Macaca mulatta: one gene and its partners. Each later gene encodes a partner of the first gene's protein in a complex. Links are inferred from orthologs where the notes say so. Each region holds a gene or a part of one and is shown in the gene's direction. Other genes may lie near its edges.

Region 1 (4,177 bases):
AAACTCAAGGGCCCTGCACCAGTAGCGAGGGGGCCCAACTGAGAGGACATGGAGCCCTCACCCTGAGGATGTTGCTTTGGAAGAGGATGCCTGGGTGGTGCAATTACCTCGTGGCATACTGAGATGGGGATTCGTGCATCCTGCATTCATTGGGAAACAAAATGAATTTCTCGGAGAGACAGGGCTTTGCAAAATGTAAAGCGCTGCAGGAAGCAACATACATGGAAAGGTCAGGAAAGAGAGCCGATCTGTTTGCTGAGTGTGGGCTGTACTTCTAAACGCGGCCAAAGTCGATGCGCAGCCCCTGGAGGTGGCACAGTTTGGGGACCCCTTGGATAGGCGTGCACTCGGGGAGGCTGGGAAGCCAGAGAGGAATGGGCCAAAGTTTCTTCGGGTATCTGCAGAACCCAGGACCGCCCGCACAGCTTGCCTCTTCTCTTCCCGCCCCTGGCCTGCACGCGTGAAATCTGCAAATTCCCCTTTCAACTGCTGCACGCGCTCGTTCAACTTCGCCCTGGCTAGAATCGGGATAACCGTCCCGATGATTATATAACTTTCCGAGTTCAGGAAAGAGAAATCCAAGGGAGAGAAATGATGAAATTTTCTTTATGGACGGATTTTTTACCTCCAAAGTAAAGTTACAGAAGTGCACAAAAAATATATATACAAATACCCATACACCCACCACTCACAAAGAGTAACTTACATTTTGACTTATCTCGAAGAGGGTTTTTTCTTTTTAGTTACCAAATAAACCTTTCTCTTCTCCCAAGTTCCAGTATATCTTAATCCAAAATAAGTCAACCTTCTTTTATTTATTATTCTCCTTTTCCATCCTCACCCCAGATTTATCTTAAAGGGTAAATTCCAGGACCCCCGAAATCCCTCGGTGAGTTCCCACATGGCCAGGTCTGCAAACATCTAGCCTCAACGTACAAGATCCGGCGATGGCCGCAACCGGCAGTATGCACAGCTGCATTTCCTCCCCCAGCCCCAACTCCCGCATGCAACTTTGCAACTCACTCTCGGGCCCGCTGTCGGGGGCGGGCCTATTTATTCGGCCCGTTTGGCGGAAGGATCCCGCGCGTGGACGCAGTTGCGCTCAACCTCTCCGCCCCGCCCCGCGCCCTGGCCCCGCCCCCTCCCGCGCCCGGGCCCCGCCCCCTCCCGCGCGCCCTATGGCCCATAAAGAAGTCCCGGCCGGGCCGCTGCACTCCCCGCGTGCATCCGTGCGCCGCCCGAGGCTGTCTAAGGAGTCGGCGGCCATTTTGTTCTTCTCGTGGTTCCAGTGGGGAGAGAAGGAGGAAGCAGGGAGCGGGGCGGCAGGGGGGGGACCCGCCGCGGCTGCTGCCACCGCCGCCACCACCGCCTCTGCTCGTGGCGTGGGAAAGGAGGTGTGAGTCCCGGGCGCGAGCCGGCGGCGGCGCCGCTGCGGGAGGGTCGGCGGTGGGAAGGCGATGGCGGATTTAGACAAACTCAACATCGACAGCATCATCCAACGGCTGCTGGAAGGTAAGGGGGGCGGCGGGCGGCTGAAGGGGGAGGCGGGCCCGAGGGCGGCAGGCGGCCCCGGGGGCTCGAGGGAGGGGAGTTGGGAGGCCGGTTGGGCTTGCAGCACCGTGGGAAGTGAGCTTCTCGAGTTGGCCCACGGGCCGGGGGCTGCAGCTGGAGGGAGGCCAGCCTGGGATCCCCAACTTGTCGCCAGCCGCGGACCCTCCAGGCTCCACTCATTCATTGCACGAGGATGCAGGCTTTCTCCCGGCCGTGGAATTTGAAAACTCCGCTCCCCACCCCCATGTTTCCCGCCTCTACCCGTTTGCCCCCGCACACCAGACGGGTCTTTGGAGCGATTGTTGGGCTGGGGGCCCCAGTCCAGCCTCCTGGACGGCGTGCGCCGTACTGTGCGAGATGGACTTTTCGGTGCTCGTCCTCACGGAAGGCAGTTTGATGAGGGCGTGAGTTCCACCGGGTTTGGGGGCTCTTTTCCTGCTTGCTTTTATTTTTCGTGGTTCTGGGGTCTTGGGGGGCCCATTTCTTGTTACTTGGTAACAAGCGTTCATGTCTCAAGAGGTGTGAGAACCTGTCTTCGCCTGCCCTCCAAATCCTTTTAAGTTATTCTAATCTTGGAGAGGTCTCCGCGCTCTTTTCCTGAACGTGCATCTGAACAGGAAGTCAGCAAGGCTGACGGTATCGTTATCTTTCCAATGTGCCAGGCTCTGTCTTGAGCACTTTGCGTCCATGAAATTATTACTGTAATAATCATAACTGGCGCTTCTAAAGGGCTTACTGTGTGTCAAGCATTCTTTGAGCACTTAACACAGATTTCATATTCTCCCACCCATTGCAAGATATTTGCTTTTTTTTTGTTGTTTTTGTTATTTTACAGAAGAAACTGAGATGAAGTCACTTAACCAAGGTCACACAGTTAGTGAATTGGGTTTCAAACCCAGATAGCCAGGAGCTAGTAAAACTCGCTACAGACAACACTGAAGGAAGGGGGCCAGTGGTTTAGTAAAGGTTAATAGAAAGGTTTAAATTTCGGCTCATCTAAGACTGGTGAGGTGCCTGGCAATTGATTCATGTTGATGTGGGAGAGGGGCGAGGTTCAGCTTTTAAAGACGGAAGCTGAAATGAGCTGCTTTCAGATTCAAGGGCATGTCAACAGATGCTAACATCTTATCCAAGACTTTGTAAGAATTCAGTCATACCCCTTAACTTGGACACTTCATAATGGGAACTTGGCAGTTTTAACTGCTTTTTGCCTTTATGTAGTCCTAAAATATTACTGGACTATAAATGCTGTGAGTGGTGGAGTCGAGGGCATGACAGCTCTAGTGTTAGAATTTGCAGATCTTTTAAAGTAAGTTATTAAAATGAAACTCTGAAAATATCTCGTCCTTTTCTTAATCTGTGCATTCTTTCCTTTTATGCTGTCTTTAAAAAAAACACTAAATGTCATTAAGGACCCCTGAAATGCTCTTGAAATGTTATTGCAGGTGAAAACCTTGTGTTGTAGGTGAAAACCTTGTCATTCCTTTAATGTCAGGTATTTATATAAGAACCATATTTTTTCATGCTAGTTAATATAGTTATTTGAGGCAGCAGTTGGTCAGAAACTGATTAAAATAGTTTGCTGTAAGAAAAGAATTTTTTGTTAAATATTTTCTTTCTAAATTTTAAAATTCTGCTTATCTCTGCAGGGATATGTGTGGCTTTATTTCTCTGAGGAAACAGGAAAAGTTGGAATTTGCATGGATTAGAAACATTAGAATTTTAAATCTAATTAAATTAGAATTTTAAGATCATCTAAGGCTTGCTAATTTAAGTTCTGGTTTGCCCATAACTGCCTCTGGATTCATAAATAGCTTTTGTTAATTTTAATCATTACAATCCTAATAAGTAGTTTGCCTAGTAAATAATGATACATCTAAAATGAGATCATTGTTTCTTAATAGTTCCTCTTGTTATATGGCACTTGAAAACCAGGTTTTCTTATATTTCTTTTTTTGCTGAAATTAAGAAAGCAGTGCATTTTAATGCCTTGGGAATAGGCTAACTGCAAAGTATACTTAAATTTCCTTTTTTCTCGTGGGTGTTAAATTGGCAGAGAAACATTTGAAGATGATCCATTGAGGATATGTAGATATCTAAGTTAAATGATGTTGGTAATAAATTCTGTGCTTTACAAGTTTTTTATTTTAAAAAAATTAAATGTAATAATTTAAAATAGAAATGAGAGTCTCACTGTGTTGCCCAGGCTGTTCTCAAACTCCTGGTATCAAGCAGTCCTCCCACCTCGGCCTTCCTGGGTTCTGGGGTTATAGTCATGAGCCACCATGCCCGGCCTGAATTTTGTGCTTTTCGTAATGCCCCCAAAACCTTTTTTTTTTTTCCCCTTAAATGCTTTAAGATGTAAGTATATCTGAAAGTAGAGGCAATATGACTTTTGTGACCTTGGTAGACTTTTTCACGTGTTCAGAATTGATCTTTTAAGCTTGAGAGCAGTATAAGCTAGTTGAGAAGTAGCTCAGTAATAGTACTAAAAAGCTAACTGAAAAGTGAAGTCTTAAGAAAAACAGCATGTTGGTTTAGATCTTAGTCACTAACTTTGCAGTTCTTTTCTTTTCTGAACTCCTGAATGTTTCTGTAAGTAATGGCATCACCTCTGCAACCCACC
Region 2 (3,508 bases), on another chromosome or scaffold:
CAGCTCTCTTGTCCATGCCCCCTGTTCCAGCCACAGCAGCCTTGCTGGGCCTCTGCTATGCCAGGTACATCTTTACCTCAGGTCTTTGCACTTGGCTTTGTGTGCATAGTGTCCATTCCTAAATCTGTGTGTGGTTCACCTCGTTCTATTCAGGTGTCTGCTCAGGAGCTCTCTGTTTACCCAAAGCAGTAGCACTTCCTTCCAGCTTATCATACTGTATTCCTCTCTTGCTACATTATTTTCTTTAATAGCATATATTAACTACTTGTTGTGTGTGTGTATATATATATATATATTTAGCTTTTTATTTGAAATAACTAAATTTGTTATCTAGTTGTAAGAAATAATATAAAGAAATCCAGTATTCCCTTCACCTAGTCTCCCCCAGTAGTGACATGTTGCATAGCTACAATATATTAATATCACAACCAGGAAATGGACATTGCTACAATCCACCAACTTGTTTTCAGATTTCACCAGTTTTACATGCACACACTTTTGTGTATGTTTAGTCCATGTGGTTTTATCACGTGTGGATTCATGTGAGCACTGCAGCCAAGCCACAGCGTGCGGTTCTGTCCTGAGGATCCTCATGTTACTCTTCATAGCCACCACTCCTTCCCTCTCCCTCCTTCCTGCTGTGAGATATTATAATCCCTGCTTATTCCGTGCTGGTTGATGGAGTGTGCTCGTCTTTACTTCTTCAGCACCCAGAGGAGTGCCTGCCACATCGTGTATTTCTTAAATGGATCACTTAATCATAAGGCAACGTTCTCCTGTGGGAAGAATTTGGGAAGAAAAGCCATGCCTATTTGGGGCACATGCAGTGTGTTTGTAGTTTGGTGTGATGATCTTTCTCTTCTCGTTCCTGCCACCCTCGAATGTTGACATGCCTGTGACTCTAGCAATAAAATTGCTTATTAGTCAGTGCTTGGCTCAGATTAGTTTTTATGGTCCAAGTAGTAGGTGTCATGAGTAGAAGCACACTAATAGCTTATAGCTGATTCATGATACCTTCTTTCAAACTCTGACTCAGAGATTTCCTGGGGAGCCAAATCCCCATACCCACTTTACCCTTCATAGTCATATTTGAGGTAAAAACTGACCAATGCTGCTTCTTTACCTCCTTTTTTCTTTCCAAATGAAATCCCAGACGTTACTGCCTAATCAGGTTATATTAGGTTTGAATTTCTTCATAGCACGTTATTATCTTTGCAAATACACAATATATTTTTGGTCTAGAACAAACAGATTTAAGAGATCTTCCACCTCTCAAGTTTACATGTTTATCTTGAAGCACTGAAGGTTGCTGACTGTGTAGTGGGCAAAGGATCAAGCGATGCCGTTTCGCCTGACATGTTCACAGCAGAAGTGAGCTCAGACGCAGTCCCTGATGTCAGGTCACCAGCTACTCCAGCGGGCAGGAGGGACCTTTCCACCCCTAAGACCTTTGTACTTCGTTCTGTACTGAAGAAACCCTCTGTTAAGATGTGTCTAGAGAGCTTACAGGTAAGAAGAGAGTTAAATTTCCTAAAGCAAATGAATAAAAATGCATTTTCGTTCAAAGTAATACCCTTGAAATGTCATATTTCATACTAGTTTAAAAGAAAATGTCTTACCTGTCTTATTGTGAATTTTTTTCCTTATCTTTTCTTATTGACAACACTGTGTAGTTTCTTTTTGTTCTTATTTTTTAAAAATTAAATATAGTGTATAGTATGCAGAATTTAATATAAGTAGACTGTAGTTTATAAAGGGTCATAATCTTACATAATCTTATTGCACTAACATTATTGATTTATATAATTATATAAGTGATATTGATTACTTAATCATAATTAATGTGTCAGTCTGTTAAACTGATTATTCCTCCCAAAATATTTGGTCTTAAAAGTACCTCTTATAGCCATCCTTTTTTCTCTAAGCCCACTCAATGTGAGGAAAGAGGAAGTTGATAGGAACTAGCTGGCATTTATTGAGTAGTTTCTATTGATAGTTCTGGCATATATATACAGCAGTAGTGCTCCCAGAAAGGTATAGGACCTGTTTGACATACACTTAGGCTTGTAGGTTGTTAAGTGAACCCAGATAAGTCTGCTGTTAAAATCCGTGACAGGCTGTCAGTCCATGAGAGGTTGAGAGCATAGCCTCAGGAGTCAAAATGCCAAGTTTCAGATCTTGACTTGGAAACGTAGTCACTGAGCAAATTATTTGACCTTTCTGTGCCTGGTTTCCTTATCTATAAAAATGTAAAGTTAGTAACTACTTTTCGAGTAATTTGAGCATTAAATGGGATACTATAAAATCACCACGAGTGTCTGGCACCTCAGAAATACAAATCTTTTTTTCAAACGATAAACATTTTAACATACAAGTATGCCTACAAGCCTATTCTGATCTGTTCTGAAGCCAAAAGGAACTAAATTACCTTCTATTTACGTGGATCATTGATGGTCAGTTGCTATTTATAAAGCTTTAATAATTTTGGTTAAAGAGCTGATTTGTGGCCAGGTACAATAGCTCACACCTGTAATCCCCTGACTTTGGAAGGCCAAGACTGAAGGATCGCTTGAGCCCAGGAGTTTGAGACCAGTCTGGGCCAAAAAAAAAAGCTGGTTTGGATCTGTAATACACACAGCGCTGTTTGTTCATATCTTCTCCTCAAAAAGACAACATCTGAATGATCCGTGGAACTCTTATTTTATAACAATATGACACAGCAAGTATTAAGTTTTGTCATTAGAATCATATGAAAACACAACTGGCCGGACGTAGTGTCTCACGCCTGTAATCCCAGCACTTTGGGAGGCCAAGGCAGGTGGATCACGAGATCAGGAGATAGAGACCGTCCTGGCTGACACAGTGAAACCCTGTCTCTACTAAAAATACAAAAAATTAGCCAGGCGTGGTGGCAGGCGCCTGTAGTCCCAGCTACTCAAGAGGCTGGGGCAGGAGAATGGCTTGAACCTGGGAGGCAGAGCTTGCAGTGAGCCAAGATTGGGCCACTGCACTCCAGCCTGGGCAACAGAGTGAGACTCCGTCTCAAAAAAAAAGGAAAACAAAACATTTACAACTAATGATCTTTATACTAAGATGGCAAAAATTGGGAGGCATATAAATTGTGAGTTGTTTGCTGACTTTTCTGATTGTTTTAGTTAAAAATAAATCTAAAAGTAAACATGAGCTTTGTTGTATAAGTTAACTTATTTTGCAGTATTTGGTATGTGCATTTTCCTGGTCAGAAAAATGAACTGACTTGAGAGACAGATGAAGGAGGTTTATTTGGGGCAAGATTATTTCTTAGAGCAGGTACTGTTCTTAGAATTGGATGTACAGGAGAAAATGAGGAATTCTTGATAACAAGGACTGGTCAGAGGTTTAGGTTGAGGCTAGACGAGTAGGTGGTGATTAAGAGGGAACTTTGATCCAGTCTGTAGGCCTGGCTGTCTCCTGCTGAGCTCCAGGGGCCCTGTGTTTAGGCTTGTTCTGTCTTTTTCTATGGGGCTTA
Region 3 (4,092 bases), on another chromosome or scaffold:
TCCACAGCAGTAGGATCAAGCTTTCCCTCCCTCGACTCAAGGTCCATTTTTGTGCCACCCAGGAATGCCCCAGCAGGAGGTGGTATTGCTTCTTCCTGGCAGGGTCCACAGTTAGTTAGCAGTTTAGGTTCCTGGCTACAACCCCAAATTGTTCTTTAGGGGATCCCCCTAGCTGCACCCGTGTTTAACATTTGGTGCTGTCAGCCTCCTTCTGGAAACTCTTCGCTTCCATCATGACCACGGATCCTGGTTTCCTTCCTTTCCTTCTGAGTACCTCCAGGAGGCTCCCTCCTGCCTCTCCTCCTTGTCACTTTGGGACACTATTTACAAAGGTCACTCTTCACTTCTGTTAAGGCCCCATTATTCTTTAGAGTTCTGGTCCCACTTCCAGCTGCCTCCTGGTCACCTTAGCTCAGGGTTCCTCAACCTCAGCACTATTGACATTTTAGGATGGCTGATTCTTCATTGGAGGGGACTGCCCTGTGCATTGTACGATCCCTGGCCTCTGCTGAACAGATGCCAGTGGTACCCACTCTATTTTGACAACAACAAAAAATATCTCTAGACGTTGCAGATATGCCCGGGGAGCAAAGTTCCCCTGATTGAGAACCACTGCCTTAGCTGGCCTCAACAGCATGAAAACAAAACTTCGACCTGCTCCTACCTGCCTCCTCCCCAAATAAAATGAGGTTGAACAGAAGCCGTAAGATTCCAGCATGACTTTGTGTATAATACAGGGCAAGAAGCAGAGAGAAAGGAGCCAGAATCTAGAACTCTGAAACTTTGAAGGAGCCTCAGAATCCCAGAACTCAGGTGTGCTAAGCTATCATGCCCCGCTTTCTAAGCTAAGACACAGCTTCAAATCCTTCTCAGCATAGCACCCAGTTAATAAGAGGGGATGTGAAAGACGAACCTCCATGCCAGCCCTGCTCAGACCACTGCCCTCGTGTTAACCTGTACAAGTAGAGTTTAGTGGCCAAAAAGCTTCTTTGACATGGCTTTTGGCTGTACTTGCTAAACAAGACCAGTGGTACTGTGTCCTCAACACCGGGCCTGGCACATAATTGGTGTTGAATAAATGATGGTTGAATAAATCACTTTAACAGTGACTGTCTCTGGGTAGTGAGACCAGGTGTAATGCTTTTATTTTCTTTTGCATTTCTTCATTTTTCAAACCTCTTTATAAGTGAGAGTATTTACTTTATAAAGGAGGAAGACACATGAATATCTTCCCCTAAGTTAAAAAGCCCTCTGTCTCATTCCACACGTCTTGCTTCCTTCCGCAGGTCTGACCTTCGAGAAACATGGCAACCAGCGCCGTCCCCAGTGACAACCTCCCCACATACAAGCTGGTGGTGGTGGGGGATGGGGGCGTGGGCAAAAGTGCCCTCACCATCCAGTTTTTCCAAAAGATCTTTGTGCCTGACTATGACCCCACCATTGAAGACTCCTACCTGAAACATACAGAGATTGACAATCAGTGGGCCATCTTGGACGGTGAGACCTGGGTGGCAGCCCTGCATTGGGTAGGATAGTAGATGGGGAGGATCGGGGACATTTGACAGGTTTCAGCGGGGCAAGGTGGTTTCCTTAATGTTGCTGTTACGGGATGGTTGGTATAAAGCCCTGTGTCATTTTCAGGGTGAATTCTGAACAGGGAAGGCCTGCGTAGAGGACTTGCAAGGTTTCATGGAAACCAAAATGTGCATTCAACAAAGAGGGGAGGCTAGAATCATGCCAGCTCAGCAATGACATGATTGTTTTCTCTTGCTGATCAGAATCTCTGATTAACAGTTATGGATGTCTTTAGCTAATAAAAGAGGGAAAAGCACGTTGTTTCTTAATGAACATAGTTTACTTGGTACTTGTATATATATTCCTTTGGGGGGAATCTCTTGCATCTGACATTTTGTTTCTAGCTGAGTGTGAATTAGTCTGGATTACTAGTTCTAAGTGTGGCAGCCAGGCCAGCGGCAGCCACAGCATCAGGAAACTAATTAGAAATGCACATTCTCAGGGCCATACTGATTTGGAAATTCTGAGGGTGAGCCCAACAGCCCGTGGTTTTTTTTTTTTTTTTTTTTTTTTGAGACGGAGTCTTGCTCTGTCGCCGGGGCTGGAGTGCAGTGGCCGGATCTTGGCTCACTGCAAGCTCCGCCTCCCGGGTTCACGCCATTCTCCTGCCTCAGCCTCCCGAGTAGCTGGGACCACAGGCGCCCGCCACCTCGCCCAGCTAGTTTTTTTTTTATATTTTTTAGTAGAGACGGGGTTTCACCGTGTTAGCCAGGATGGTCTCGATCTCCTGACCTCGTGATCCACCCGTCTCGGCCTCCCAAAGTGCTGGGATTACAGGCTTGAGCCACCGCGCCCGGCCTCAGCCCGTGTTTTAACACACCCTCTAGGAGATGCTTGAAATCAGGTAGCATTACATCTCCAACTTTGTTCTTTTTCAAAGTTATTTTGACTAGTCTAGGTCCTAAGGTATTTCTGTGTGAGTTTTAGAATCAGTTAAATTCTAAAACCCTAGATTTTGATTGGGATTGTGTTGAATCTGTAGATCTGTTTGAGGAGAATTGATATTTTAACAATGTTGAGGCTTCCAACCCATGAACACAGTATCTCTTTCCATTTGTTTATTTATTTATTTAGGTCTTCTTTAATTTCTCTTGTCAATTTTATTTGTAGGTTTTTTTTGTCTTGGTTTTTTGGTTTTTTTTGAGACAGAGTCTCACTATCACCAGGCTAGTGGAGTGCAATGGTGCAATCTCGGATCACTGCAACCTCTGCCTCCTGGGTTCAAGCAATTCTCCTGCCTCAGCCTCCCAAGTAGCTGGGATTACAGGCACGCATCACCACACCCAGCTAATTTTTTTTGTATTTTTAGTAGAGATGGGCTTTCGCCATGTTGGCCAGGATGGTCTCGATCTTCTGACCTCATGATCCACCCACCTCAGCCTCGCAAAGTGCTGGGATTACAGGCGTGAGCCACCGTGCCCCAGCTTATTTGTAGTTTTGAGTGCATAGGTCTTCTACGTGTTTTGTCAGATTTATACCTGCATCTGTATTGATGCTATTGTAAATTTTTTTTGTTGTTGTTGTTGTTGTTGTTGTTGAGACAGAGTCTCGCTTTGTCGCCCAGGCTGGGGTGCAGTGGCCAGATCTCAGCTCACTGCAAGCTCCGCCTCCCGGGTTCACGCCATTCTCCTGCCTCAGCCTCCCGAGTAGCTGGGACCACAGGCGCCCGCCACCTCGCCCAGCTAGTTTTTTTTTTATATTTTTTAGTAGAGACGGGGTTTCACCGTGTTAGCCAGGATGGTCTCGATCTCCTGACCTCGTGATCCACCCGTCTCGGCCTCCCAAAGTGCTGGGATTACAGGCTTGAGCCACCGCGCCCGGCCTCAGCCCGTGTTTTAACACACCCTCTAGGAGATGCTTGAAATCAGGTAGCATTACATCTCCAACTTTGTTCTTTTTCAAAGTTATTTTGACTAGTCTAGGTCCTAAGGTATTTCTGTGTGAGTTTTAGAATCAGTTAAATTCTAAAACCCTAGATTTTGATTGGGATTGTGTTGAATCTGTAGATCTGTTTGAGGAGAATTGATATTTTAACAATGTTGAGGCTTCCAACCCATGAACACAGTATCTCTTTCCATTTGTTTATTTATTTATTTAGGTCTTCTTTAATTTCTCTTGTCAATTTTATTTGTAGGTTTTTTTTGTCTTGGTTTTTTGGTTTTTTTTGAGACAGAGTCTCACTATCACCAGGCTAGTGGAGTGCAATGGTGCAATCTCGGATCACTGCAACCTCTGCCTCCTGGGTTCAAGCAATTCTCCTGCCTCAGCCTCCCAAGTAGCTGGGATTACAGGCACGCATCACCACACCCAGCTAATTTTTTTTGTATTTTTAGTAGAGATGGGCTTTCGCCATGTTGGCCAGGATGGTCTCGATCTTCTGACCTCATGATCCACCCACCTCAGCCTCGCAAAGTGCTGGGATTACAGGCGTGAGCCACCGTGCCCCAGCTTATTTGTAGTTTTGAGTGCATAGGTCTTCTACGTGTTTTGTCAGATTTATACCTGCATCTGTATTGA

Evidence for each region.
Region 2: the proteins of PPP1CC (region 1) and CDCA2 are in contact, whole or in part, in a crystal structure (PDB 5INB), measured with the Homo sapiens proteins. The link is inferred for Macaca mulatta from reciprocal best matches to the Homo sapiens genes PPP1CC and CDCA2. Residues at the interface, in NP_002701.1 of Homo sapiens: Arg20, Gly21, Ser22, Pro24, Lys60, Tyr70, Asp71, Leu73, Arg74, Glu77, Tyr78, Asp166, Lys168, Ile169, Asp242, Leu243, Tyr255, Phe257, Arg261, Pro270, Asn271, Ser284, Asp286, Glu287, Thr288, Leu289, Met290, Cys291, Ser292, Phe293; in NP_689775.2 of Homo sapiens: Lys391, Arg392, Val393, Thr394, Phe395, Gly396, Asp398, Leu399, Ser400, Pro401, Glu402, Val403, Phe404, Asp405, Glu406, Ser407, Leu408, Pro409, Ala410, Asn411, Pro413, Leu414, Gly417, Gly418, Thr419, Pro420, Val421, Cys422.
Region 3: the proteins of PPP1CC (region 1) and MRAS are in contact, whole or in part, in a cryo-EM structure (PDB 7SD0), measured with the Homo sapiens proteins. The link is inferred for Macaca mulatta from reciprocal best matches to the Homo sapiens genes PPP1CC and MRAS. Residues at the interface, in NP_002701.1 of Homo sapiens: Pro178, Asp179, Gln181, Gln185, Arg188, Ile189, Met190, Thr193, Asp194, Pro196, Gln198, Leu201, Trp216; in NP_001078518.1 of Homo sapiens: Ala5, Ile31, Gln35, Lys36, Ile37, Val39, Asp41, Glu47, Asp48, Ser49, Leu51, Lys52, His53.

What each region holds. Positions count from the first base shown.
Region 1 is NC_133416.1:117,922,744-117,926,920, reverse strand, and holds the start of PPP1CC (serine/threonine-protein phosphatase PP1-gamma catalytic subunit), read left to right. Parts: upstream 1-1,374; 5' UTR 1,375-1,457; coding exon 1,458-1,512; intron 1,513-4,177. UniProt on the Homo sapiens protein: Protein phosphatase that associates with over 200 regulatory proteins to form highly specific holoenzymes which dephosphorylate hundreds of biological targets.
Region 2 is NC_133413.1:27,225,979-27,229,486, forward strand, and holds part of CDCA2 (cell division cycle-associated protein 2), read left to right. Parts: intron 1-1,297; coding exon 1,298-1,509; intron 1,510-3,508. UniProt on the Homo sapiens protein: Regulator of chromosome structure during mitosis required for condensin-depleted chromosomes to retain their compact architecture through anaphase.
Region 3 is NC_133407.1:41,369,392-41,373,483, forward strand, and holds the start of MRAS (ras-related protein M-Ras), read left to right. Parts: upstream 1-1,286; 5' UTR 1,287-1,304; coding exon 1,305-1,497; intron 1,498-4,092. UniProt on the Homo sapiens protein: Signal transducer in the Ras-MAPK signaling pathway that regulates cell proliferation and survival. Core component of the SHOC2-MRAS-PP1c (SMP) holophosphatase complex that regulates the MAPK pathway activation.